Linked DNA regions of Mus musculus. The protein of the gene in region 6 interacts with the protein of the main gene of each other region in a pairwise test. Links are inferred from orthologs where the notes say so. Each region holds a gene or a part of one and is shown on either strand. Other genes may lie near its edges.

The links.
Region 1: the proteins of Dmrtb1 (region 6) and Ctbp1 interact in a two-hybrid assay, tested with the Homo sapiens proteins (4 studies listed by BioGRID). The link is inferred for Mus musculus from reciprocal best matches to the Homo sapiens genes DMRTB1 and CTBP1.
Region 2: the proteins of Dmrtb1 (region 6) and Nif3l1 interact in a two-hybrid assay, tested with the Homo sapiens proteins (2 studies listed by BioGRID and IntAct). The two-hybrid records come from large-scale screens. The link is inferred for Mus musculus from reciprocal best matches to the Homo sapiens genes DMRTB1 and NIF3L1.
Region 3: the proteins of Dmrtb1 (region 6) and Exosc5 interact in a two-hybrid assay, tested with the Homo sapiens proteins (2 studies listed by BioGRID). The link is inferred for Mus musculus from reciprocal best matches to the Homo sapiens genes DMRTB1 and EXOSC5.
Region 4: the proteins of Dmrtb1 (region 6) and Rbfox2 interact in a two-hybrid assay, tested with the Homo sapiens proteins (3 studies listed by BioGRID). The link is inferred for Mus musculus from reciprocal best matches to the Homo sapiens genes DMRTB1 and RBFOX2.
Region 5: the proteins of Dmrtb1 (region 6) and Vasp interact in a two-hybrid assay, tested with the Homo sapiens proteins (2 studies listed by BioGRID and IntAct). The two-hybrid records come from large-scale screens. The link is inferred for Mus musculus from reciprocal best matches to the Homo sapiens genes DMRTB1 and VASP.
Region 7: the proteins of Dmrtb1 (region 6) and Slain1 interact in a two-hybrid assay, tested with the Homo sapiens proteins (2 studies listed by BioGRID). The link is inferred for Mus musculus from reciprocal best matches to the Homo sapiens genes DMRTB1 and SLAIN1.

Annotation. Positions count from the first base shown.
Region 1 is NC_000071.6:33,272,205-33,276,133, reverse strand, and holds the start of Ctbp1 (C-terminal-binding protein 1), read left to right. Parts: upstream 1-1,129; 5' UTR 1,130-1,315; coding exon of another isoform or gene 1,316-1,355; intron 1,356-3,929. UniProt on the Homo sapiens protein: Corepressor targeting diverse transcription regulators such as GLIS2 or BCL6. Has dehydrogenase activity. Involved in controlling the equilibrium between tubular and stacked structures in the Golgi complex.
Region 2 is NC_000067.6:58,443,816-58,447,950, reverse strand, and holds the start of Nif3l1 (NIF3-like protein 1), read right to left. Parts: upstream 2,801-4,135; 5' UTR 2,317-2,800; exon of another isoform or gene 2,262-2,316; intron 318-2,261; 5' UTR 295-317; coding exon 1-294. Other genes in the region: Ppil3 (peptidyl-prolyl cis-trans isomerase-like 3), read left to right, coding at 3,360-3,362. UniProt on the Homo sapiens protein: May function as a transcriptional corepressor through its interaction with COPS2, negatively regulating the expression of genes involved in neuronal differentiation.
Region 3 is NC_000073.6:25,662,153-25,665,342, forward strand, and holds part of Exosc5 (exosome complex component RRP46), read left to right. Parts: intron 1-984; coding exon 985-1,098; intron 1,099-2,095; exon of another isoform or gene 2,096-2,174; coding exon 2,175-2,296; intron 2,297-3,190. UniProt on the Homo sapiens protein: Non-catalytic component of the RNA exosome complex which has 3'->5' exoribonuclease activity and participates in a multitude of cellular RNA processing and degradation events.
Region 4 is NC_000081.6:77,132,554-77,136,053, reverse strand, and holds part of Rbfox2 (RNA binding protein fox-1 homolog 2), read left to right. Parts: intron 1-3,112; coding exon 3,113-3,337; intron 3,338-3,500. UniProt on the Homo sapiens protein: RNA-binding protein that regulates alternative splicing events by binding to 5'-UGCAUGU-3' elements. Prevents binding of U2AF2 to the 3'-splice site.
Region 5 is NC_000073.6:19,269,055-19,273,034, forward strand, and holds the start of Vasp (vasodilator-stimulated phosphoprotein), read right to left. Parts: upstream 2,801-3,980; 5' UTR 2,465-2,800; coding exon 2,460-2,464; intron 1-2,459. UniProt on the Homo sapiens protein: Ena/VASP proteins are actin-associated proteins involved in a range of processes dependent on cytoskeleton remodeling and cell polarity such as axon guidance, lamellipodial and filopodial dynamics, platelet activation and cell migration.
Region 6 is NC_000070.6:107,681,431-107,685,608, forward strand, and holds the start of Dmrtb1 (doublesex- and mab-3-related transcription factor B1), read right to left. Parts: upstream 2,801-4,178; 5' UTR 2,733-2,800; coding exon 2,150-2,732; exon of another isoform or gene 2,036-2,149; intron 1-2,035.
Region 7 is NC_000080.6:103,656,728-103,660,227, forward strand, and holds part of Slain1 (SLAIN motif-containing protein 1), read left to right. Parts: intron 1-205; coding exon 206-345; intron 346-3,500. UniProt on the Homo sapiens protein: Microtubule plus-end tracking protein that might be involved in the regulation of cytoplasmic microtubule dynamics, microtubule organization and microtubule elongation.

The DNA.
Region 1 (3,929 bases), on a different chromosome or scaffold from region 6:
TTTTGAGCCCTAAGGGTTTTTATACAAGCCCTGATATAATCCCTCACAAGGATGGAGTGATGTGGTGGTCCTAGTCACAATGTGCAAGAAAAAGTGGGAATTTGGGCAGCCTGAGAAGGAATAGGAGGTGTCACTCTGCCATGGAGTTGCTATGTTAGGATGGAACAACTGGGAGGAGCCCTTTGGATGGATCTGTAGGGAGTCACCTGCAGCTCGAGAAAACTGGAACAGACCAGGAGAGACAGTCCAGGATAGGGGTGGGGATTAAGGGAAAGTGTACATCTGCTGGCTTTCCCCCCTAGCCCTCAGTCTATTTAGGAAATACTGTAGCAGGTTTGAGACTCCACCTGTTAGATCTTTTTCTCCATCCATGTCTGCCAATAGATGGAATTGGAAGGTATTTTCAAAGCATTTTTTCTGTAAACAGATGCCCAGGCCCTTGTCATCCCTCATTGATACTGCCCACCTTTCTCAAAGATTTGATTTTCAAAACTCGTAACCATATGGCCTTCAGCATCCTTCAGTTTGGACTGTTCCCGTGATGTTATTATTATTATTATTATTAATTATTATTATTATTTTATTTTATTTTATTTTTTTTTATTTTTATTTTTTTTAACAGCTAAGCGGTATCCCTCGCTACGCCTGTCTGACAGTCCCACCAACAGTCAGTCGCTTACTCTGGGGTGGCCAGCGGGCATCTGTCCCTGCGCACAGATCACTTTCCCTGGCTGGGGCGCTGTCCAGCTCCTGGGTCCTGGGTCCGCGGCCCCAGCTCTAGCGCACAAGGGGCCGAGTGAACCGCTCTCGCTGTCCTCTTGAGGCCCCGGCGACTAGACTGGTAGCGCCCCACGCGGATGGGCTGCTTCACCACTCAGGCTCCGGCCCAGGTCACCGCGCCAAGGAGTGGCAGGGGCGCAGTCCGGGGTACGCGCAGGGGAGGGGAGGCCGGGGGCGGGTACAGCTGGGGGCGTGTCCAGGAAGGGAATCCAGCCTGGGAGGGGCGCTGGGGGTGGGGGCCGAGCGTCGGGCCGGCGGGCAGCTGGGCCCCTGAGCCGCCCGCGTACGTCCAGCGCGCCGCCTTGCCTGCAAACAGCAGACCAACCGAGGCCACGCCCGCGCGCGCGCGCCGCGTGTCCCCGCCCGCTCGTCGGTCGGAGCGCGGCTGGCGGCGCGGTGGCGGCTCGGCACGGCGGTGGCCGGGCGCAGGCGGCCGGGCGGAGTAGCAGACTGCGCCGAAGCCGCCCCAGGCGCAGGGCTCGCGGCGGCGGAGAGCGCCGGACTCATCGGGGCCCGCGGCCACCCGCACCTTTCAATGGGCAGCTCCCACTTGCTCAACAAGGGCCTGCCGCTGGGTAAGGCCGCGCGCGCGCATTTCCGGCTGCGGGCGGGGGGTGGAGGGGCGGGGGCGGGGCGGCCGGGCGCGCGCGGCGCTGGCTTTGTGTGCGAGTGCGCGTGCGCGCTCGCTGCGCGCGCGCCTGGTTGGGGGGGAGAAACCCAGGAGGCCAACGGGTGATGCGCATGCGCGAACTGCTGCACGCGCGTGCGCGTCCCTATTTTCCGATGCCCGCTCGCGACCCGCGCAGGTGACAAAGGGGCCTGTGGTGGTGCGACCCAGACTGTGACCGAGCCGGGCCTGTCTTCCTGGCCCGGGGTCCCGCGAGGATCCTTCTCGTGGACACCCAGCCGGGACCTAGGTGTTCCCGGAGTGACGAGCCTGCGGATTCCGCATGGGCCTCGGGTCGGCAGATCCGGGAGCGGGTAGTCTCTAGAGGTGGCGCTGAGGGAACATGGGTGGCCTACATGCCTATCACCCCTCTGGTCGACTTAGTGATGCTCAGCTTGGCACCTGGATTTGGACCACTTACGTTTTTTTTTATTCATTTATGAAAGTCCTTAAGCCACAGGGGTCCTGCCTGTGGAGGGCAGTCCTTCCTTGGCTGCGTTCCCTGGCCGCGTAGCCTGGCGCACGCGCAGCGAAGACGACCCCACCTTCGGGCGGGGCAGCCGAGAGGTTTCGGATTAGGGAGGAGCCTTTTGCCCACCGTCCAAGTGCCCTACAGTGTCCCTCTCTTTGGCGCTTCCACTTTAATGACCACACGGCTTGACCCCCAGCTCTGTTCTCACAAGGGCACTGCCTTCTTCCTTATAGCCTGAAAGCTGGCAGGGGATGAATCCTCGCAGCGTGTGCTGCCAGCAGGAAATAAGGAACTGTAGGCAGGAGGGAAAAAGGGAGGCGCCCTGTGATGGCCCACTATACCTCTTATCACACAAGGCCATTTTGCAGATCCTGTCAGTTTGTTTCAGGGTGTGGCGGGGTAAGGCCCTCCAGGCCTGCCTTCATCCTGGACTGGTGGTGGGTACTCCTCCCCTACACTGCACCTCTTCAGAGCTGAACTCCCTGGAGGCTCATGTGTATACACACACACACACACACACACACACACACACTTTTGTAGGAAGAGGCTCTGCACCCAAACCAGCAGGGTTATAGTCCAAATTTCCCATGGGGTAGGGAGGGCAGGCCCAGCCCATTGCCTTCCAGAAATCAGCAGGACAGCCTTGCCTGTCAAACCTTTCCTGGCCCAGGGTTATGTCCCTTGTCGTGTTGAGCTTTTGATTGATTAGGACAAATTTGCCTTGTAGGAAGGAAAAGGGAAGGAGTTTAGCTGTCCAGTATTTAGGAAAGTGAACCCAGTGAGCCAGGGTGTCAGCAAGATGATACCTAGCAGTTTTATTCCCCGGGTAGTATGTTCCCTTACTGTGTTTTGCTTTGTCACTTCCAGATTCAGAGCACGTGTCCAATATAAACAGGGATACACAGGATGCTTACCCCAGTGTGATTGGCATGCAGGACATCGGGGCTCCATTATAGAGTTGGACTAACATCTTTGAGACCCCGGGGGAGCATGATCTCTGGAAGAATGATAGCAGGATGTGAATATGGGCTGGGCTCATATGTGTGTTCTCTCTGTTTCATCTGCAACATGGGGTGACAGCTGTGGGATGTGCCAAGTTCAGGGACAGCGTTGTGGTGTAGTGTGGGGTCATACTGTTCTCCGGAACTCTATGAGTTTGCTTGTCTTGTTACTATTTAGGGTGGCAGCTGTGGTTTGAGGCTGCTCTTTCTCTGCATGGCCCTGCTGTATGTGTCAGCCTGGCTTCCACAGATGTCTGAGGGCACTGTGCCATGTTAGTTGTACATAGTGTGGGCTGGGGCCTGTGGAATCCTGGTGGGACCTCAGTGATACACTGTCCTTCTCTGGCTATTCTATCTTCTGTCACCTGTGGACCTGTAGCAGGTTTCAGCTTGTGTTTCGCCCTTTTCCAGATGAGTCTCATGCTCAGAGAGGTCTAGTGTCCCCTTCAGGGTTCTAGGTGGGACAGACTCCTGTCCTTCCAGCAGCTCACTATTTCCTACCTGCCTTTTGTACTTCATTGGTGAGTGCCCACAGGGTAACCTGGCAAGAAACTTGTGTGGACATTGATCCTTAGATCTGGGTACTGCTGAGGACCCCCTGTCCATGAGACCTACTAGCTGTGTGGCCTCCCGGCATGGTATGGAAAGCAGACATGTCCTGAGGTCTGTACTGCATGGCAGCACCTTTACACTAGCTTTCATTCTTCTAGTGTCAGGAAAGGATTTGGCTTGCTTGGTGCTGGGCAGGGGGCCTGCCTTCAAGCCCCGGGATGTAAACTTCTTCACAAGAGAGGCAGCGGCTTATGTGGACTTGGTTTTGTAGTTAACCCATGGCACCTGAAAGTCTGTCAGCACCAGTGCCTGCATTCTGCATCGTCACACTCACTGTTAGCAGTGACTCTGGGTTCTGTGGGGTAGACGGGTTCAGCCTACCGTGTCTTTCAGCAGTCCTGCAGCAGCTGCAGCGTCCTTGTCCCTCTGGGGCTGAGGGCCATGCTCACAAACATGT
Region 2 (4,135 bases), on a different chromosome or scaffold from region 6:
GGGCCGGAAAATAGGTGGATGGTAGGAGAGAATGAAGTCTGCCTTCTTTTGCAGAGCCTCGTCCATGACCTCCTCCGTCAGGTCATTGGTCAGGAAGAGTGTATTTACAGTATGGGGTGGGCTTGGCTCCACCAGTAATCCCACATTGTCCCAGCTCTCAGCAAATGAGAGGGATGCAAAGTCATTCAAGGACGAGAGAAGAGCCTTCAGATCCATGAAGGAACGGGAAGACCTGCAGATCCACGACTGGGCACGTTGCACACTTGTAGGGACTAGGTGTGCCGATGACAGCATACGGAAACCAGGGAGAAGGGTGCCTGAAATCACAACCCAGGAAATGGTATTTATATACCGTTCACCTCTGCACTGTGAGGCATAAAGCACGTGAGTAAAACAGCTCTCACCACTGACCCAGAGTCAAACAGTGGCCCTGCCACCCTGCAGCATGGTGGGCTCGGCCAAGTCATCTGACCTCTTCATTTTCTTCAAAGGCATTAGTATATCACCTAGCAGAGTATGACGCAATATAAATGCTCAGCCCCTCTTACACCTTCCCTGCTCTGCCCACCACTGCTTCAACCTTACACCCTGTATCTCTGCTGCACACAAACGCACAAACCCACACTCCAAGATATTCACGTAGACAGAATAAAACTAACACATTCAAGAGGCTAAGCTGTAGCTGAGTTGGTAGAGTGCTTAGCTACCATGCACAAGGGTTTGGTCCCCAGCACCACTGGGTGTGGCGGCACACATCTGTGATCCCAGCACAAGGGAGGTAGAGGGTAAGCCAGCCTCAGCTATACAGTCAGTTCTAGGGCAGCACGAGCAAGAACTGAGGCAGACAGGTCACTCCACAAACGCACAGAGCCAAGGCAAGAAAAGGCCAGAACTGCTGCCCCTGAACACACGTCAACTGCTACACAGAGAAACAGAGAGGAAAAGCACTGGGCCCCTACCCACATATTCCATGGCTGTGCACTGAATGGTGGGAGAGTAGTGTCACCAAAGAACCAAAACAACTCAAAACAGTGTGATGTGCAATCTGAGAGTTAATAGAATTGAATAAAGGAAATGTGTTTGCCTCAAACAGGTATTGTAAAAGTATCTTTTATTCACCTGGTATAATTGTCGTCTCCCATCTCTCTGCTAAGCTAGGCCTAGTTCTGGAAGCTTATAGCCTCCATACAATCTTATCTAGGCCTATTATGTTTTCAGACTCTGAGAATTACTGCCGAATAAGCTCACCCTTTCTAGTTCTTTCTGAGCTTGCGCTGGCTGGCTGGTTCAACTCAGCTGTTCTGGCTCAAACTCCTCTCCAAGCTGCCTGATTCATCTGGCTTCTCTCTCAGCCTCTGACTGAATGGTTCTGCATGGCCTCAAACTAAGCCTGACAATCCTCTCTAATCTTCTGGCTGCTTCTTGTTCTTTGGCTCAGTCTGTCTTCACTTATGCATAGCTTGTTTTCTCTATCTGCATCCTCTCTATATATAACTGTCCCAGTAAAAACTGCCCCCAGTCTCTCTCTGCACTACCCCTTAAGTAGCCCATCTTTTCTCCCTGTTCTGGAGAGAGCTGGGCATATCCTATTCTGTCAAATCTTTCTCTGATTCCTCACTTTGTCTGCCATTCAATTAGACATCACTTTCAAACATGGATGCTTCCTTCTACAAACTAATTTTACCTTCATTGTTTGAGATTAAAGATGTGTGCTAAGGGCACACCACAACTAGAAAGGTTCCTCCCACCCACCATCGGTAAATAACACAATCTCGGGGGTTCACAGTGTGACCAAACATCCTGTAACAAGCTACCAACGAGACTGATGTAACTTGTGGCTTTCTTGTTATACAATAAACTTCTATTGTGAGATGACACGACCACGTCCCGGTGTTTTTCTCGGACAATGTGCTCACAGTACAGACACATTTAAAGCATTATTTGAATGGGCTGGAGCTGCCGTACAATGGAGAGATGGGAATATCCATTGTCAATCTACATGATCTTTAGCCCTCTGAACAGCCACTTGCTATTTTTCAATTACACGAGAGCTCTCTTTGCACTTGCGTGTGGTTTTTCTTTCATTTACGCATGGCTCAAGACCTTTTCCAGAATAATCAAGGGCCGCGTGGCATAGCCTTTATTCCTGGAGTCAGCACCCTCACCCCTCCTGCAGCAAGGCAGTTTTCATCTGCAACCTCTCCTTCTATATTCATGTTCCCCCGGCCCTCTGCAGTCACCACAGCCAGCCCGATGTGCACCTCCAGCGAGAAGAACAGACAGCCCCCGCGAGCCCTTCAGTGGTTCACAACTCACCAGTCGCAGAAGCTCTTTCAGTGTATCACTTCCGCTCTGCTCTGAAGCTCCTGGCTTTGTGGAAAGAGTTGGGCAGAAGTGGTCCTGTGCGTTCTGCTTCCGACTCCAGGCCGCTGTGTGAAGTTGGGCGGAAGTTGTCCTGTGCGTTCTGCTTCCGACTCCAGGCCGCTGTGTGAAGTTGGGCGGAATTGGTCCTGTGCGTTCTGCTTCCCACTCCAGGCCGCTGTATGAAGTTGCTGGGCGACAGCGGGTTCTGCTTCTTAGTGAGGTTGTGGGTAGAGCTCTCAGGGGCCGAGGGGTGAGGTGCGTGGTCCTCCGAGTCCTAGTCGGTGTGATGAGGAGAGACTGACGGGAGAGTAGGGCGTCCCCTGCGGAGGGCTCCGGGCTTCACTTCTGTGGCGCACAGACACGCCTTTGGAACCCGCAGGCATGCCGGCCCTTGTAGTTGAGGCTTTTCCGTTCCCGCAGCAGTGGTGCTGAGCGCAGTGGGTGAGTGTGGGGGAAAGGCTTTTATCCTTTTCTCCGTGCACTCAAACGCCTGCTGCGCCCCACGTTGGTGCAAATTTATTTCTTGGGATCCTCGTGGTGAACTCTCGGGCTGGAGATGGTATTCCTGGGACTTTTAAATACGATTGATAAGTTAGCAAGATGTGGCGTTTGGGAAAAAACAAAACAAAAGTGTGAAGTATAGAAATGTATTGTACAGACGTCTTAAGTAAAGTAGGTGTCCCGGGTAAAGGGAGCTCCAAGTGCCTATCTAGAGCACTAGACCTGGAGGTGGGGCTATGCCTCCCTTGCAGAAAGCCTTGAAGAAAATGAGTAAAGTAAGTGCGCACTGGGGTGGCTTGTTGCATTGGGTAGGATCAACACTTTTATGATAGGATTTTCATTTAGAGGATGCTAGTCTAAGCTTTTCGTTGTAAATCTACCATAAAGATGAACAAGTATGGTGGGAACTTGATAGGGTAAAGTGAACTAATTCCTCTCTCTTGTAGGAGATTTGAAAAATTAAACAGTGCTTCCTAGAACCATCAAGAAGGAAAATGGTGAGTATGTATCATAGAATTATTCTAACTGGGTGGTTGGTTGCTTGTTTCTAACCCCTTTGGGTTCCCTGGAGCTGGAGACACAAGCAGATGTGGGTGCTGGGAACTGAACAGGCCCTGCTGCAAAAGCAACAAGTCCTGGTACCTGCCAAGCCTGCCCTCTCAGCCGCCCATTACATGGTTTTTAATTTGTGTGTGTGTGTGTGTGTGTGTGTGTGTGTGTGTGTTTTGGTTTTTTGAGACAGGGTTTCTCTGTGTAGCCCTTGCTGTCGTGGAACTCACTCTGTAGACCAGGCTGGCCTCAAACTCAGAAATCCGCCTGTCTCTGCCTCCCAAGTGCTAGGATTAAAGGCATGTGCCTCCACGACTGGCTGTTTTTTAATTTTTAATGAATATTTTTTTGGAGGAAGTCAGACAGGATAGTGAGTGTGTAGCTCAGTGGCAGAGTGCGTTCCTAGGATAAGGAAGGAGAGGGGAAGGGAGGGGATGTGGCGAGGGAGAGACTGTGTGTACCAGTATAGAGGGAACAAAGTAGAATAAACAAGTGGACATGATCATTACAACGTTACCCTGCTGGTGTGGTCCCAGCACTCAGGAGGTAACCTTGCTCCCAGCCTCTATAGGCCGTCGCAGTCTCAGACCTTTCATTAAAAGACACAAAAGGAAATAAACGAGCAAACAGTGTGCCCTTTCCCCGCAGAGATGAGCAGCACAGGTAGAATAGCAGGGAGTGTAGCTCCTGTGTCCACTGAAGCACCCCACTCACCTCCACC
Region 3 (3,190 bases), on a different chromosome or scaffold from region 6:
GTCCCTAGTGCCTGAGGACAGAAGAGTACGATCTTCCCAAGAACTGTGGTTACATACAGTTGTGAGCCATCTCTCCAGCCCCAACCTCTGACCGACTTATACACATACATTTTATCGATTTGGAGCTGTGCTGTAAAGTGTAGTGGGCATTGGGAGTTACAGTCAGAAACATGGAAACTGCTGTTGAATGCAGTGCCTTCACATCGTAGGTGGCCTCTCTGACGCCTGTGGACGTTAGCAAAGTCACACGAGGTCTCCAGACCCATTCATAACCATTTGGGGGAAATAAGTAGAAATTAAGACCCCCTACACATTCACAATCTTTATTGTTTGTCCTTTTAAAATGTATTTTACTAATATATTTTAATTGCATCTAATAACTGTTTTCTGCTTGGCTGGCTTATGAGATGTTCTCCCGTAGCTCAGGGTAGCCCCAGACTTACCATTGGAGCCAAGGATGATTTTGATTTCCTGATCTTCCTGTGTGTCTCCCAAACACTGGGATATGTATATGCGTGTGTGGGCGAGAGCTGTGTGTGCGAGTGCCCATGAAGGCAGAAGAGGGTGTCAGTCCCTTAGAGCTGGGTTTCGTGGTGGTTGTGAGCAGCCTGATAATGGGTGCTGAGAACTGAATTCTAGTCCTCTGGAAGAGCAGTGTGCATGCTGACACACACCACCAGCCATCTCTGCAAACCCCAGCTACCTCTAAAAATTAACCAGTGGCTGAAGTCTGTGGTAAGCTCTGCACCTTCTGGCCAGTGTCTTATATGTTTCAAGTGAACTGTGTCTCTTTAAAGTTGGCATTTATTTCATCTTCTTGTGTGATGTTGGGAGACTGAGGGCCTCCTGCTTCTGTGAGCCACAGTCACCTGATCTTCACAAACTTACCATGAGGAAGGTACTTAGCTGCTTAAAGTTAAGAGAGCAGAGGAAAGAAGTGCTAAGTGCAGCACAGAGCGGCCAAGGCCTCCCTCTTTCCCCCAGGTGATACCTCTGTCCTGGCTGGAGTCTATGGGCCGGCCGAGGTGAAGGTCAGCAAAGAAATCTTCAACAAGGCCACCCTTGAAGTGATCCTGAGGCCGAAGATCGGGCTGCCTGGTAACTGGACTCCACTGAGCCCCCCAAAAGATCCAGTCTGTTGGGACCTCATCTGACCCCTCGATGCTTGCTGTGTCCAGTCTCTGCTGCCCTGCTCTCCTCCCTCTTTGCCCAGCTTTTGATTCTGCTGCACTGGAATGGAATCTAGAGCATCAGGCCTGCTGGGCAGATGCACTTCCAGGAAGCCACAGTCCCAGGCTCTCCAGGGTGGAGTCCGGTCAAGCCCTCTGCTGCTGAGATTAGGCCTCCCAGATCCTCACTGGTGGTCTCCAGACAGGAATTCCAGCTCTGAGCCACACCATTAGCTTTTCCCTAGTGAATTTAAGGCTATGTGGCTAGGCCATGTAGCCAGCCCTGTTAACTCTTTTTTTTTTTTTAAGATTTATTTATTTATTATATGTAAGTACACTGTAGTTGTCTTCAGACACACCAGAAGAGGGAGTCAGATCTCATGGTTGTGAGCCACCATGTGGTTGCTGGGATTTGAACTCGGGACCTTTGGGAGAGCAGTCAGTGCTCTTAACCGCTGCTGAGCCATCTCACCAGCCCCCCTGTTAACTTTTTGAGACGGGGTCTCAAGTCCTCTGAGCTGGCAGTGAGCTCTCTTTATAACCTAGGCTGCCCTCAAATTCATGATCCCACTGCCTAACCTAAAGTCTCGAGATTACAGACCTGTACCACCAGACCCACCCTCTCTTGAGCCTTTTCTTTCTTCCCTTTTTTGCCTTCCTCGCTCTTCCTTCCCATTAACTTGTTTTTCTGCCCTTTTACCACTTCTCCCCATGTGTCATGGGATGGGCCTGCTCTGATGAGAGTAGATATGGCCAGTAGCACAGGACATGGGCACCTCTGGGTATTCCTCCTTGGGTGGCTGGCTGGTAGACCCCTGGCCAAGGTTGGCCATAGCAGGAGTTACTCAGAAACTTGCAGACTCGCCCGCTTTCTCCTGGGAGTGTGTACTCCGACCCGGACTGAGGCTGACAGCCCCTTCCTGAAGTCTCCCTCCAGAGGCTGGACCAAGCAGAGCAAGACGACGGGGTGGAAGGGAAGAGCCTGACCGCTTCCCGTCTCCCCAGGCGTGGCCGAGAAGAGCCGCGAGCGGCTGGTCAGGAATACCTGTGAAGCTGTGGTTCTAGGGGCCCTGCACCCCCGGACCTCAATCACCGTGGTGCTGCAGGTGGTGAGCGACGCTGGCTCTGTATCCTTTCCCAGCCCTCTCCTCCAGGAAGTGGCCAGAACCTCCCCTCCGGCTTCCGTACCCTCAGCCACCCAGGACCTGTGCCAGGCAGCAGCTCCTGCAGAGCATACAACAAGGCCATGGTCAACAAGATGGTTCAGTGGAGAAAGGTGCTCGCTGCCAAGCCTGACGGCCTGAGTTCAGTCTCCAAGGCTCATATGGTAGAAGGAGAAAACCAACTCCCATAAGTTGTCCTCTTAACTACCACGTGAGCACAATGGCACACACCTGCCCCTGAACACACACAAGTAGATGAATGTAATTTTTAAAAATTAGCAAGCAGGGCTTACTGTGTGCTGCTGGGCCTGGCACTGAGCACCTCATGATGTTAAGTCATTTAGTTCTCACTGGGCTTGTATTGGGTAGCACTGTAATTCCTATGTAAATCCCAAGACAGTGGGCTCAGGCTCTCTGGTTCGAGAGCCCTGCCATGTGTGTTTCTCATGTTGCCTTGTTTCAGGTGAGGGGCAGTGTTTGGTCTAAGGGACCAAGATGGAAACAAGGGTGGGACTCAAGCTCCAGGCACGTCCCACCTCAGAGCTCCATTATCTAGCATGGTAGCTGCCTACTAGACTCCCCGGGGGTGGGCCTGGCTTTGCCAGTAATGTCTTTCTTGTGTGGCTTTGGGATATCTCTCTATTTGACCCTGTTTCACTCATGACACTTGGTATATCCCTTAGTGTACATACCTGTTCCCTAGCATTGTCCCATCTAACACAAAGATATGAGACATGGAGAAAACCATTTGATCTCATAGCTGGGAGAGAGTTGGTAAGACCTGGTGTGGAGCAGCGGCAGCCACTTGGCGCCAGAACCGCGTAACCATCCTGCCACGCCGCTGCTCTGTGATGAGTC
Region 4 (3,500 bases), on a different chromosome or scaffold from region 6:
AATGTCTTCTTCAGTTGCTTTCCACCTTAGTTTCGAGACAGGATCTCTAATGGAACCTTGTCTTAGTCAGGGTTTCTAGTCCTGCACAAACATCATGGCCAAGAAGCACTTGAGGAGGAAAGGGTTTCCTCAGCTTACACTTCCACATTGCTGTTCATCACCAAAGGAAGTCAGGACTGGAACTCAAACAGGTCAGGAAGCAGGAGCTGTTGCAGAGGCCATGGAGGGATGTTCTTTACTGGTTTGCCTCCCCTGGCTTGCTCAGCCTGATCTCTTATAGAACCAAGACTACCAGCCCAGAGATGGCACTACCCACAAGGGGACCTCCCCCCTTGATCACTAATTGAGAAAATGCCTTACAGCTGGATCTCATGGAGGCATTTCCCCAAGTGAAGCTCCTTTCTTTGTGATAACTCCAGCCTGTGTCAAATTGACACACAAAACTAGCCAGTACAAACCTGTAGCTCACCTTTTGGCAAGACTGGCTGGCCAGCAATTCCAGGGATCCTCCTGCCTCTGCCTGCCCAGCTCCAAGTACTTCAACAACTGAACCATCTTCCCAGTGACTGGTTGGTTTTAGAAAGGCAGGCCAAGTTTGAAATCTGAGCCTACCTAAGCTCCCAGGGAATAAAAATGACGCTTGTAAAATGCTTAAAAGCAGAAATATTTTTGGCATCCTAGTTAAACTGGGGAATATTCTTTCAAGTACTTCTTTTTGTGATTGAGAGACTGTCTGAATGGGCTGCCTTTAGAATTTGCAGGCTGCTGTTTAGGTTATGCCTGTAAATTGGAGTCAAGATTACCAAATGGAAAAATTAGAATGAAGTTGAGAAAGGAATGGGAAGACAACAATAAAAATACCTTCTCTTTCTACATTGCATGGACTTCATCCTAGAAAGATGGTAATAATTCACCTTTCCAGGTGTTATGTGCTTAGCTGCCTAGCCTAGAATATAAAGCATAGGGGCCGGAGGTGTGTAACGAATACTTGCTGGTTGTTCCTTGTCAGATTGACACAAACTAGAGTTCTATGGGAAGAGGTATCAGTTGAGGAATTGCCTCTCTCAAACTGACCTGGAAACATGACTATAGGCCTTTTTTTTTTTTTTTTTTTTTTTTTTTTGATTAATCACTGTGCGTGGTGACACCCTGGGTAGGTGGCCCTGGGTTGTACAAGAAAGCAGGCCAAACAAGCAATGAGGAGCGAGCCAGTAAGTAATGCTCCTCTATCAGTTCCTGCCTCTAGGTCCTTACCTGCGTTTAACTGATGAGCCATTTCTTAAGCCCTACAAACAAAATTGCTTTTAGAGCTGTGTGCCTGGGTGTGTCTGTGTGTGTCTGTGTGGGTGGGTGGGTGCGTGCACACGCTCGTGTGTGAACGCCTGCTTGCCTGCCTGCGTCTGTGTGCTCTTATGTAGTGGGTGCACGTGGATATGCGTGCACATTCATGTGGAAGTCCAAGGTTGATGTCAAGAATATTCTTTACCACTTGATTAAGTCCGGTGCTCTGTCTTGCCTCCATGACAGACTATGAACTGCAAAGTGAAATGAACTCTTTTCTCCCCTGAGTTGGTTTTGGTCCCAGCAATAGAAAGAAGTGTAGGGCATTGGTCTCCCAGAGAATCTGAAGGGAGTTCCCAGCACCCATATCAAGCAGCTCACAACCACCTGTAACTTCAGCTCCTGAATGTCTGGCGCCCTCTTCTGGCTTCTGTAAGGACATATACAGATATATACATACACATACATTTTAAAAATAATACAAATATTTTAAAAGCATTTCATGATGTAGAAGCAATCCTATCAACTGTCATAAGTTGGCTGGGAGCTGTTGTATTTCCCTTTCAACTTAAAACTTTGAAATGTGAACTGAAAATTGATTAGAAAACATTCTTATATTATTTTTATTAAGAATGTTAAATGACTTCATATTTCTAATAAAAACAATAGCCATAATATATGTGGTAGAGTGATTGCTATAAAACATAAAGCATTACTCCAGGTCTGTTGTCTTTTTGGTTTGGTTTTGGTTTTGGTTTTGGTTTTTGATTTTTGATTTTTTGAGGTAGGGTTTCTCTGTGTAGCCCTGGAACTCACTTTGTAGACCAGGCTGGCCTTGAACTCAGAAATCAGACTGTCCCTGCCTCCCAAGTGCTGGGATTAAAGGTGTGCACCACCACTGTCCGGCCAGGTCTGTTGTCTTAGCATATAGACAGCTGTGTAAGTGTTGCTATCAGTCACATTTCCCTAAGTCAACAGGAGCCCTGTTCCCTGATGGAGGATTGCACCCTCTTATGGGCGACAGTCCTACCGTGGTTACATCTCGCTGTGCCTAGACTATGGGTATACCCTAGAAGCATTTCCTGCTCCCAATCCCCACCACTAGTTGATGTGTTTGTTCAGTTGACTGGGCCAGCTCTGGCAGAAATGGCCCTGTGGGATGATTGATGCTGTTTGCTTGTGGACCACAGTCTCACTCCCATCAGGGATGGGGTGGAGAATGGCGGTTAGAGTTCAAGAAGAGCAGCGTCAGAGACAGAGGCAAGTTCCTTGGTCCTAATCTAAACTTGGAAACTGTGTCTTTAAAGCTTCATATGTTTCTTAATAGACCCTTTCTGAAGATTTCTGAAAGGCAATCCTTAGGCTCTGCTCATCTATTAGTCTACCTTAGTTTGAATTTTTGTCTGTTGCACACCTGTTTAAATGCTAATCAGTCTTGACCTTGGAAGCAGTATATTCTGCCACCAACTATGGGTACAGGCAGAGCACCAAATGATTTGGAAGAGATGATCAAATATTAAGCTCTTGGCTATCAAGATGGCTCATCAGGTAAAGAAAGGTACTTATCACCAAATCTGAGTTTGATCCCAGGGACTCATGTTGAAGGAGGATGTAGAATCAAGTTGTCCTAACTCCACACCATACCATAATGCTCACAGGCAAAGCACACATAAAATTAAGTTTTATCAGTTGATATTTTTTAAAGAATGAAGTTATCTGATGATCCTAGCAGTTTCTTCCTGAGCGGGGGATAGTGAGAGAACATGCTAAGAGTCCTGTGTGATAAAGATTTATTCACTCACTCCTCTTTCTTTTCTGTTGCTTGCTCTAGGGTAACCAGGAGCCAACAACAACTCCTGACGCAATGGTTCAGCCTTTTACTACCATCCCGTTCCCACCACCTCCACAAAATGGAATTCCCACAGAATATGGAGTGCCACACACTCAGGACTATGCCGGCCAGACCAGTGAACATAACCTGACCCTCTACGGGAGTACGCAGCCTCATGGAGAACAGAGTAGCAATTCACCCAGCAACCAGAATGGATCTCTCACGGTATGTGAAGTCGGAGATGCAAGGTAGAAGGACGTGTGAAATTTTTACCTTCTCGGAAAGAAAGCGCTTTGAGTTAGTTTAGCATTTCTACTCACTGCCCAGCATGCATGTACTGACTGTTCTTTCCTAAGCCTTGTGGCTGGACAGTGGGGAGCTTGAACTA
Region 5 (3,980 bases), on a different chromosome or scaffold from region 6:
ATGAGTCACCACATCGTACTCCCAAACCATTAAACTTTAACAGGCCATTTCCTTAACACCACTGCACCTCAGTTTTACTACCTGTAAAATGGGGGTAAGACCGGGAGCACATGCTTGTACTAGCACTGCACTCAACTGCGGTGGAGATTTAAAACGGAACCAGACTCATATTACCCCACCTGGCAGGAAGAGTGATTGAACCTGCTACATCACTTAAAAAGAAAAGAAAAGAAGAACCGCTGCTCATGTTATTGCAAGAGGAAAGGAGTGAGGCACATTCTTTCAGAATTCTGCCCAAGAGCCCTCAGACCTCTGACCCCTTCTCTGCCTTTCCCAGCTCCCGGATGCAGCAGACACTCGGCAAATATTTGTCAAACTGGGAGAAAAAGAACCGTATCTTGTAATTTTCCATCTCAACCACCTCCCTTCCCACTCCCCCTAGGGCTGTCCCCAGTCAAACCAGTCCTGCCCCCTTCCCCACCACAGCATAAGACCTCTGAGGGCGCTGGAGCCAAGATTCAAAGTCTTGGGGGCAGGGCTCAGTTTACCCAGCTGGGAATAAGGAAATAAGGAATGGGTCGGGGTCTCTGTCTCTAATCCTAGCTGTCCTTGGAGAAGTGACACAGCCCAGCAATTGACCAAGGACGAGGGAGACCCTTTCCTAAGAGGGTGGGGGATTCCTTCAACTTGTGCCTACCCTCAGGGGAGGGAGGGAGGTTTGGCACTGGCCACAGCCAGAGCGGGGCGGGCTGCAGGAGGACCGGGGCTGGGGGTGGGAGTGCAGGGGGCCGGCCTAGACGTTGCTCCTGCCCTTTTACGGTCTCAGCGAGTGAGGCGGCACTAACTCGGACATCCGCCATCCGCCTTCCACCGGGCCTGGGACCGGAAACGGGTGGGGGTGGGGCGGGGCTGGGGGCAGCGGGGCGCAGTGGAGGAACTGACCCCCTTTAGGGGGACAGAGCTCCCATGGGGGAGGGAAGGCCAGGCAGGAAGTCTCCAGGGTGTCTCAATGTACCCCTTCTTGCTCCAAATCCCAACACTCCCACAAGCCAAGGGACAGACTTGGGAGGCCGGGAGGGAGGGAGGGGTCCTAGCTCAGGGTCCTAGAGAGGAATGTCACCTAGATGTCAGAGGGCAAGACTGGAGGATGTGCACATGGGAGGTTAAGCCCAAACTGTCCCCAGGAGACTCCTCCTCCAGCCAGGGGCTTTGGGGCAGGAAGTCCCAGCCAAAGTGGAGGAAGGGAGACAGTATTGTCAAGATGTGGCCCCAAGGGAGAGATTATGGGGGGGTGGGGGTGGCTGGGGCTGAGAGGAGGGGAGGCCTCTGTCAGGCCAGGCCCCGCCCTCAGGTGAGCCCAGGAGTTCAGGGCAAGTCCCAGGGAAGACATACAAAAAAAAAAAAAAAGAAAGAAAAAAGAAAAAAAAAATCTTTGTATCCCCCTCACCTACAAGATTAAATTCCTAGGAAGAGAGCTGGAAGAAGCTAGTGAGCCTGGGTCCCTGAGGGAGAAGGCTATGACCTTGACGCTTTCCAGCGCCCCCTCCTCCAATCCCACGGCCTGGGGAAGGGGGTAACACCCAGCGACATTGAGCCCAGGGGGAGGGACTGTGGTGTGGGGAAAGCAGCTGGCCACAGTGCTCACTCGGGGGCCCGCCCCCCACACCAGCTGTCTCGACAGGTGAGTCAGGAAGACAAAGGCCCCCCTCCCCCAGCTGCTGCGCCCCCTCCCTCCCCGGCCACCAGGTTGGGGGGGGGGGACCAGAACCGTCCTCTGGCCCGGGGGTCCAGGAGCCGCCCTGGGCCTGGAGTGCTCCAGGGCCCTAGGACCCAACCTGGTTGCCTAAGGGGAGAAGAGTCCCATCCAGACCCTCTAGGCCCCGTGGGCCAGATTCCCAAGAACTCCTCCACAGGAGAACCTCGGTGTCCACCAAATTTAGGAACATCAAGAAGTGCCCCTAAAGTTAAGGACCGCGATTCCACTCTGGGACTCTCATCCAGTGCCCTAGACGCAAGGATCCGAATTCCAACCACAACCTGAGACTCAAGAGTTTTAGGGCTAGGGTTCTCTAGCCAGCCTCCCACCTGGTTTTGAGTTTGGGGGCGGTAACTCTGAGCCCGCTTATACTAGATCATCCCTGCGAGGATCTGACTATCTGAGAACTCAGAGGTGCTCCCCCCAAAAGTCTTCAAATTCTGAGTCCCGAGAGCGCCCCTAAACCTGAAAGCCATCAAGAGAACCTCAGCCGGCACCGCCCCAAGCCTTTAGGGAGTAGTGTGGAGAAACGGGGTGTCGATATTTAGAGATCGTTCCAGAAGGCACCGGCTCAGATCTGGGACGCCCAAAGCGCTGTGTCCCCTAAATCTAGCCCCAAATGCGCTGGAGGGGGGGAGGGGGACAAAGGCGGGGCGCGGAGCCGGCTCCCGGCTGGGACCCGGCTGGAGGGTTCGGGGCTCACCTCATGGCTGCGCGGAGGGCGGGCGGCGCGCCCACGGGGAGTGCTCCCGGGGCGCCCCTGATTGGAAGTGCAGGGGTGCGGGGCTGGCTCCAGGTTCTGCTCAGTCTCTCTCGGGGTCCCGCCCCATAGAGTCCAGCTTCCTGGGGAGAACGTGGACCGGGCCGGGGCGGGTCTTCAGGCGCCTCCTCCCACCGGTGTTCTGATGTGCTGGGATCCCCTGCGATGGAAAGCGGGGTGCAGCGTCCGAACCTCGCCGGCGCACCCCCTCGGCCGGCTGCACCTACGCGGTTACTCTTACTACTGTACTCTCTTTGCTACATTTCGTTCCAAAATTCCACTCCCCGTACCCACAATTCCCTGCGCCTTAAAGGGGCCGTGGACGCCTCCAGGCGGGGGATGGAGAGCGTTTAAAAGGCAACGCGGAACCTTGGGCTTCCGCAATTGCACTCCTTTCCCGGTCTTGTGGCGTGGGGGTGCACCCTGAGCCTCACTCCGGAGTTGGAGGGGAAAGCTTGGTGGAAGAGACAAGGGGCCTTTCTTTGATCTCTAGCTGTCTCCACTATCAAATTCTTTAGTAGAGATCTGGGGGTGTAGGTTCTCCACTCCAACTCGCTCCGTGGACTTCTCAGTTTATTTTTTGGGGGATGGGGGTACCCTTGGTTAAGCAAGGGATCTCATCAATTTCCACCTTTAAGTAACACTTCCGCACTTCTCTTCCCCAGATCTCGCTTCTCAGGCCGAGCCCCACCCCTCGCCGCCCCCCACCCTCCCGGGGAAGGTGTGGAGGAAGTGAGCGAGGGGGCGCGGCGGGCCGCTGACTCACCGCGGCCGGGTCGTGGTTGGGGTGGGGGCGGGGGTAAGGGTGGGGGATAGACTAGGAGCGAAGGGTTGGTGGTGAGACCCCGATCTGCTCCCCACGCGGGCCCAGCTACAGCTTAATTTTGCCCACGGAGGGTAGTAGGATCGTCCCAACAATCCGGCAGGCTCAGAGGCCCGGAGACCCTCCTCTAGAGCCCCTTCCCCGCCAACACGTCCGGGCTGAGTCGAGCCCCCCCTCCCCCAAGCCTTCCGCAGTGGGACCCATAGGCCCCGCCCAGAGTTACATCATCATGCAGACACGCCCCTCCCGTAGAGCTCTACCTGGCCGGCTGAAAGGCGGTAACTCTAAGAAAATGGCAGTTCCTGACTTACTGATCGAGAAACTGAGGCTCAGAGACAGGGAATGGGTTTAGCTTATTTGGGTCCCCCCGCTCCCAAACTCACGAGAATCAATCCACGTGGCCTTTGGCCAATCCATTTCCTGGATGCTATGCTGGCTCCCTGTTGTCCTTCACTTGTAAGAACCTCAACCTTCAGGCCAAACTCTTACAGTAATTCTGCTCTAAAAAAATCTAGTACACCAGTTAGTTGTCCTGCTCAAACCAGGAGGCTGAGGCAAGAGGATCACGAGTTTGAGGCCAACCTGGGCTACAGGGTGACTTTAACGTCATCTGAGGTTATATATTTAAGAACAAAAGTGGC
Region 6 (4,178 bases):
CTAACAGTAACGGCCATGCAACACTAGCAGCAACACTCTAGCACACCGGTGAGATTCCCAGTCCCCCCCTTGGTTCAGCGCTGTGTTGGGCAGAGACAATGGGAGCCCTTGGCTTTGGCTGCAGTCAAGCTGTTCCCCGGGGTTGGTGCATCAGGAGGGGACAGGACAGGACGTCTAAGCCACCGTGTGGTGGTTCTCACCCACCACTGGACTCTGCTTCAGTTTCTGTTCCTGGCAGTGCTGGTGTGAACAGCACAGCCCAGGCACTTCCTCTGCAGTCACAGACACCATCTCTCCTCTTCATTTTTAACCCCACTGTCCCTGAACACTCAGCCATGCTGTTTTGCCCACATGCAGGGCCCACCTCTCCTACTTAGTAAACTCTCTGGAAACGCCTCCCAAGATGCATCCAGACAAATTCCTGCTTTCCTCATCCAGGTTTCTCACCAATCCATCTGACAATCGAGAGTAGCACCATCAGAGCCAGCAAGATGGCTAAAGGCACCTGCCACCAAGCCTGACAGCCACTGCTCCATCCCAGGGACCCATGAGGTAGAAGGAAAGAACCGGTTTCCCAAAGTTGCCCTCTGACCTCTCCTCCACACATGCTGGGATTAGCCACAAGTGGCCTCTTCTCCCCCCCTCTTTATAACACATTTTAAAGTTCCTGTTTGTTGAGAGATGAACACACATATGCCCTCATAGGACTGCTGGTTTATTTAAGTCTGCCTTCCTCATCAGACAGATAGTTCCTTGGGGAGAAAGATTTCTTACAAAATCTCAGAAACATTAAGAATGATTAGCATTGGAGCGGAGTGTGGTGGCGCATGCCTTTAATCCCAGCACTTGGGAGGCAGAGGCAGGTGGATTTCTGAGTTCGAGGTCAGCCTGGTCTACAAAGTGAGTTCCAGGACAGCCAGGGCTATACAGAGACCTGTCCAAAAAAAAAAAAAAAAAAAGAAAGAAAGAAAGAAAGAAAAAGAAAAAGAAAAAGAAAAAGAAAAGAAAGAAAAAAAAGAGAAAAGAATGGTTAGCATTAATTTCTGAAAGTCTGCTCTTCAAGGAAGGAACTTGTCCAAGGCTACACATGGGCATCCCCTCGACTCAGACTCTTTCTACATAGCCCTAAGGAAAGTAACCCCCTCTACCCCCCCCAAAAACCCAAGTCTTCATCCCAAAGAGCCGCATTCCAAGAGCCTCAAATTTTACATTACTTGAAAACATACTTCAGGGGCTAGAGAGGTGGCTCAGCGGTTAAGAGGTTAAGAGCACCGGCTGCTCTTCCAGAGGTCCCAGGCTCAATTCCTAGCACCCATGTGGCAGCTCACACCTGCCTGTAATTCTAGTTCCAGAGGATAAGACACCCTCACACAGACATGCATGCCGGCAAAACACCAATGCATTATAATAAATAAATTATAAGATATAAATATAATTTTAAAAAAACTCAAGAAATCTACTTCAACCAGGAAAGCAACCTACAGCATAAAGAAACAATGTAATTAATGCACAAAGCGAGGGGGAAAAAAAATCTTAGTGAACCAGCCCATCCCCCTGGCCAACTAGCAGAAAGTTTTATTCCCCACCACATCAGGTGAAATGGAACAAGTGAGTGTGAGTACAGGTGCGTTAGGCTAGACACTGCAGTTAGGATAAATTAGCCTCGGCTCAGTGAAAGGAGGGTGCGCAGGCGCAGTTTAAGGTGAACAGCCACTCAGAAAAAGACTCTCCAGCAGGAGAAAAATGGCAGGCGGGGAGGGGGAGGGGTTGCCACGCAGGCACAAGAGATCTAGACCTGGGAGGGGGGAAGGGATGCCGTGCAAACGCGCTAGAGGGGCCACGGAAAGGCGCCACTGCCAAAGCTGCCCAGCTGCCATCTTTTTTTTCCTCTTGCAAAAGTACAGAGGCAGAAAACTGCATCTCAACAAAGCCCCCCTGCACTGCACATTCTTCCCTACCAGCTTTTTCCCATTGCTATCATCAGAAGCCACCCACCCAAATCCTTGTCTGGGAACAGGTTCTCAAGCGGGGTTACCTGGGGAAGGCGCCTTTCCCACCCCGGCACCAGTCTGGGACTCCAGCTTAGAGCCGGAGGCTGCTGGCCTGGTACAGGCCGGAGGAACCGTCGGCTGCACGAGGCTGGGCTTACCGTAGTCGGCGAACGGCAGTCGGGGCACGGGCCGCACTGGCCCTGGCACTGGCACGGGCCGCACTGGCAGGTGCTGATCCGGGTAGCAAAGCTCCGGCCTGGGCGCCTGTGGCATGAGCTGGGGCAGCCACGCGGAGGAACGGTCGCGCAGTCCCCCGGGGGCCCCTGGTCCAGGCTGGAAGGTGCTGGGGCCCGGGCGGCCACTTGGGCCCAGCTGGAAGGTGCTCGGGCCTGGGCTCGGGGCCTGCGGGGGCCTCTCGAGGAAGCAAGTGGCCGTGGGGCCTGGCCCAACGCCTCCCGGAACCGCCCTAGGCAGTGGGCAAATGCTGGAGCTCAAGGCGGTGGCCGCCGCTGCTGGAGCCCTAGGAGGCAGCTGGGGACCCTGCGTGCCCACGGTCGCCACCTGCTCCTCGGCAGCTTGGGTTCTGAGAACCTTCTGGGCAGCCATGATCTTCTGGCGCTCGGTGATCAGGTAGCACTTGTCACAGATGCACTGCTTCCAGCGGCATTTGCCCGTATGGCCCTTGACTGGTACCAGATAGCCATGGTTCCGGCACCTAGAGCACTTGGGGGCGCGAAGCATCTTGTCGTCTAGCTGGGCAAGCTCTGCTTCCAAACGCAGCCACCACTTCCCGAAGCTGCAGAGCAAGTGAAGCAGGAATGAGCGGTGCCCCCATAAGTCCCTGGTGCTGGGGACATTGGATACACTTGTAACAAAACAGCTCGCTGAATGTCCGGAGAACTGCAATAGGACTCTTGCATTTTTTCCACTTTCTGTGTGTGTGTGTGTGCTAAATTTACCGTGTTTCTGTGTGTTGGGCAATGGTGTACGGTGTAAATTAAAAATGAAATACTTATTACATGTATGTCATACGAGTTATTTGAAGTTTTCGGCACTTGAATTTTCAAACTTCCTGTTCCCGCCAAATTGTAACTGGAAAATAGATTTTTTTTTTTTTTTTTTTTTTTGAAAAAAGGCGGACTTCTACTCAACGGTCGAGGGTTTTAAAACTCCCAATGAACAGAGCTGTTAGTAAACCCGTACTATTGGAAAGTTCCAGAGAACACTGTGTTTTTCCTCCCCGAAGCAGCTGCTTCTGCTTCATCTCGCTCCTCTGTAGAGAAAAAGAGCAGTTCTGCTTCCAGAATATTCTTCAGCGCTTAGTGCAGTGTTGGTTACTTACAGGCATTGCAGAAACCATGAGTTTTTGAGTCCTGTTTGTGTAAGCACTAGGGTCTGAAAAATGCATGCTTAATAATGTTCTAAAGTGCCGGGCGTTGGTGGCGCATGCCTTTAATCCCAGCACTTGGGAGGCAGTGGCAGGCGGATTTCTGAGTTCGAGGCCAGCCTGGTCTACAGAGTGAGTTCCAGGACAGCCAGGGCTACACAGAGAAACCCTGTCTCGAAAAACAAAAAACAAAAAGCAAAAACAAAAATAATGTTCTAAAGCAAAACATGATAGTTCGGAACTAATTTGAATTACTGGCTTTTGGGTTTGTTTGTGTGTGTGTGTGTTTGTGTGTGTGTGTGTGTTTCTTGTTTCATATGGTCTTTTAATTGTCTTTATGAAGCCAAACACAACTACTTAAAAAAAAATTCCCTAGCCACTGGAAATACATTGATGAAGCATGCATACTTCTCTCAGGAGAGGGGCCATATAAGTAAACATTTGCAAGAGCCTTCCTCAGACATCTGCTCACCCAGTATAGGGCACACAGCACGGTGTGTTCAGACCTAACTTAGGGGGGCTTGCCCCTCCAGGATGGCCTTTATTCCCAGAATCTACCAATATCACAAGGAGCCACAATTTGCTTGTTTTGTGACAAAGCATGTGTTCCAGTCGGTTCACTCTGAGAGAAGGGGAGCTCCCAGCTTTGGAGAGTAATTCCACCCAAAAGAAAAAAAAATCACATACATGCACACACACACACACACACAAGCAAGCACAATCTCCATGAAAAAAAATCTAATAGCCTACATACAACCTGTCATTTAAATATATATACATATATGTGTGTATACACACAC
Region 7 (3,500 bases), on a different chromosome or scaffold from region 6:
TGAAGTAGTTCTCAGCAGGCTTTGGAAAGTAACCTATTCTATTTGGGGATATTTGCCTGTTAAAAATGATTCTCGGTACTTTGAAGCAATCAAATGTGGTTCTGTTTCTATGGGAACGTTCAATGCATGCTGTTTTCCTCCCAAAGAGAGGCACTTTCTGTAATCTATATCATGCCTATAATGTAGATTTCTTTCTTTTTTTAAGGTTATATGTTGGCTCTTCAAAGACATTCACCTCACCAGAGAAATCCCCGAGTCCTTTGCAGTGGTGTAGACATGTCCTAGATAACCCAACTCCTGAGATGGAAGCAGCCAGACGCTCTCTGCGCTTCAGACTGGAGCAAGGTACTGTGAGTGTGTGCACTCTCTGTCTTCAACCTTGGACTGTGCTCTTGGCTTCTGTTTCTGGTTTGGGAATAGACTTCAGCTGATAAGCTCTTAAACTGGGGTACAGGTTCTTGTCACATGTGATCCGTCTGTCCTGAGGAACACACAGTTCCTTACTGAGGGCTCTGCTCACTGGCCTCAGGGGACTAACTACCTTTAGTTAGAGTTTTAGCTGATGATATGGATCATATCTTTTTTTTTTTTTTCTTCCTGTTTCAGAAATGTGTCAGTAAGTGAAATGAGTCTGTCTTCACTTTCCTAAATTGGTAATTAGGACCTGTGGCTCAATTCTAAGTCACACTGGGAGTTTCTTGAGGTCTACTTTGTTGTATTCCTTCTCTGTCTAGTTGGATGGATGACTGGAAGTCTTAACCTCCGTATGCCAGAAGCTAATCCTAGTAGTGTATGTCCCATTAGTTAACCGGTAGAGACCAGCAGAAGACACATACCACACACACACACACACACACACACACACACACACACACACACACACAGAGACAGAGAGAGAGAGACAGAGACAGAGAGAGAGAGAGACAGAGAGAGAGAGACAGAGAGACAGAGACATACAGGCAGAGACAGACAGATAGACAGATTGACAGAGACAGAGAAGCAGGCAGACAGACAGAGTCAGGCAGAGACAGACAGACAGACAGATAGATAGGAGATAGGTAGGTAGATAGACACACACAGAGTTAGACAGAGGGAGAGAGACAGAGACAAGAGATGGAGAGAATTGTGGGAGAAACAGCTAAAGGAATTTGTGGTCTGTAGCTCCTTCCTTTTCCTCTGTGTCCAGTACTTCGAGGCTGTAAAAGTTTGACCTTTCACCTTGTTCTCTAACCTCTCAGTGTCCGCTCACTTTCCAGGAACACCCTTTCTGCCCATGTACCACTGCATCTCAAGTCCTGTTTGAACTTTTGAAAGCACAGGGCCCGCCCCCTCCAGGGGAAAGAAGGTGTTTGTGTGAGGATGGGCAGAGGGCATCTGCCTTGGTGAGTCAGGAGCACTGCTCAGGCACACTGAAGGTTAGACTCTGCTTCTCAGGCTCTTCAGGGATAATGGATGGTTCCGAGACACTTGAGAGGAGGACAAGCTAGGTAGAGTTTCTTTGCCTCTTAATCCTACAATAGTCAGTACTTCATGTTGATCAGAGGCAGGTTTTTCATTCACCTGTAGAGGTGAGAAGGGTAAAGTTGAGTGATCGAGAGGTTTGCTAAGCAAGAGGGTACTTGGGTGATGGGGTCGGTGTTGGGGTCTCCCTGACATCAGGAAGCCTATCCTTAGCAGTATAGATTCTGTACTGCCTGTTGTATTGGCACGGCCATAAGTTAATAGCCACAGAAGTCTAGCTTAAGTATTTGGGGAAGGTGGACTTTAAGGCATCTGTTTTGTTAACTATTGATGTATTGATAGCAAGTGGAAGACGGTCATAGGAACAGGGATATGCTGGGTGAACACTGGCCATTAGTGCCCATGCTGTGGATGGTACCCTGATGTCCAGAGAATCTACCATCAGTTCCTATCCTGCTCAACAAACAACCAAGTCCCCGTCTCTCACCTTCTTTCTCAAGTAGACTTATGGCCTTACTATGTGGACATTTTGTTGTATGAGTATGGTTTGAAACAGAAGTCAAATGAGATTCAAGGATGACAGCTCTTTAGCTCAGATGTCAATGAACCTGCTTCTGCTAAGGGTGACACCTTGAGATTTCCAGGCTACACACTGTTGTGACTGCACGACCCGCTTGTCACCCAGAAGCAACCATAGATGTCAGATTAAGTAGACACAGTTTGTTCCAATGGCACCTCGTTCATTGGCACAGATTCGAATTTCAAGAGATTTTTTTTTTTCTGTAATGAAACACTCCCCTCCCCTTAAATATAAAAACTGCTCTTAACTGATAGATATCAAAGAGACAGAAGGTGGCTGGATTTAGCCCACCGTGGCCATGGTGTAGCAGTCTCTGGGTCAGGTGACTGGCACAGAGTTAAATTGCAGGGTTGATTTTTGACACAGAAAGGAAGCTTTTAGTAAATGTAATGTAAATCTGATTAATATTTTTGATCAGATGTCTGATCATCTAATTTTGCTTTTTATTGGCAAATGAGAAGTCATGTGGACATGCAGTGAAATCAGACCATTTTATTTGTGCTTTGGTTTATTTGAGTTTTATAGAAAATATTTTAGGTAGAAAACTAATTTTTTAGAAGCAAAACCAGTGGCTGACTAAATTTGTTTATTCGTCTGCAAACTTTTGCTGTAAGACTAAATGCTTTCGTTTCAAAGATTTGTAATTCCTTGTAACTTACTGATTTGAGCTGAAGACCTAGGCCGGGGTGGAGTTGAAAACATTGAGCTCCTTGGTAGTGTGTTGCCTGGCAAGCATCAGACCCCCGGTTCCTGACCCTGCGTTCTGCTAAGGAGAGGCTGTTTATTGGATGGCCATTCATAAAATGATCTTTTCAGCTTGAAAAATATTAGTCGTCTCATACTTTCCTGCTTATTTTTCGGATGAATTACGTAACAGACACTGTTTTTCTGTTTATGTCTTTTAATTTTTCATTTGTTAGATGGCTGTGGAGTTACATTACCATTTTAAAGTTTCTTAATCTTTTGAGAATTTTAGACATGAATAGTGTATGTTATTCTCTTTTCCCCCCAACTTTTTTCTGTTTCCCCCTACTCCTCAAATTCATGACCTCTTTTTAAATTGTTGTTTCTCCCTTCTCTCTCTCTCTCTCTCTCTCTCTCTCTCTCTCTCTCTCTCTCTCTCATACACACACACACACACACACACACACACACACACACAGGCTTGCGACCTTGGGTTGTGAGGTTTAATTTCTGGTTCCTCCTCATCTCCTTATATATTTTCTCAGCACAGCTTTCTAACTTGGCTTTTTATGAATTATAGCATGCATAGATGTTTTTGTGATAGTGCTTATATGCAGGCATTGCAATATCTTATCATATTTTGCATCTCACTTAGTTTTTACTTTGCTACACAAAGGTGATTTTCTCAGTTCTGTTCATCAGTTTACTCCAGACTCTCTGGGTCCTCTCTGAGTGTAAGGGGCCTGGTGTCCTGTCCTGTTCCTGGCCATGCACT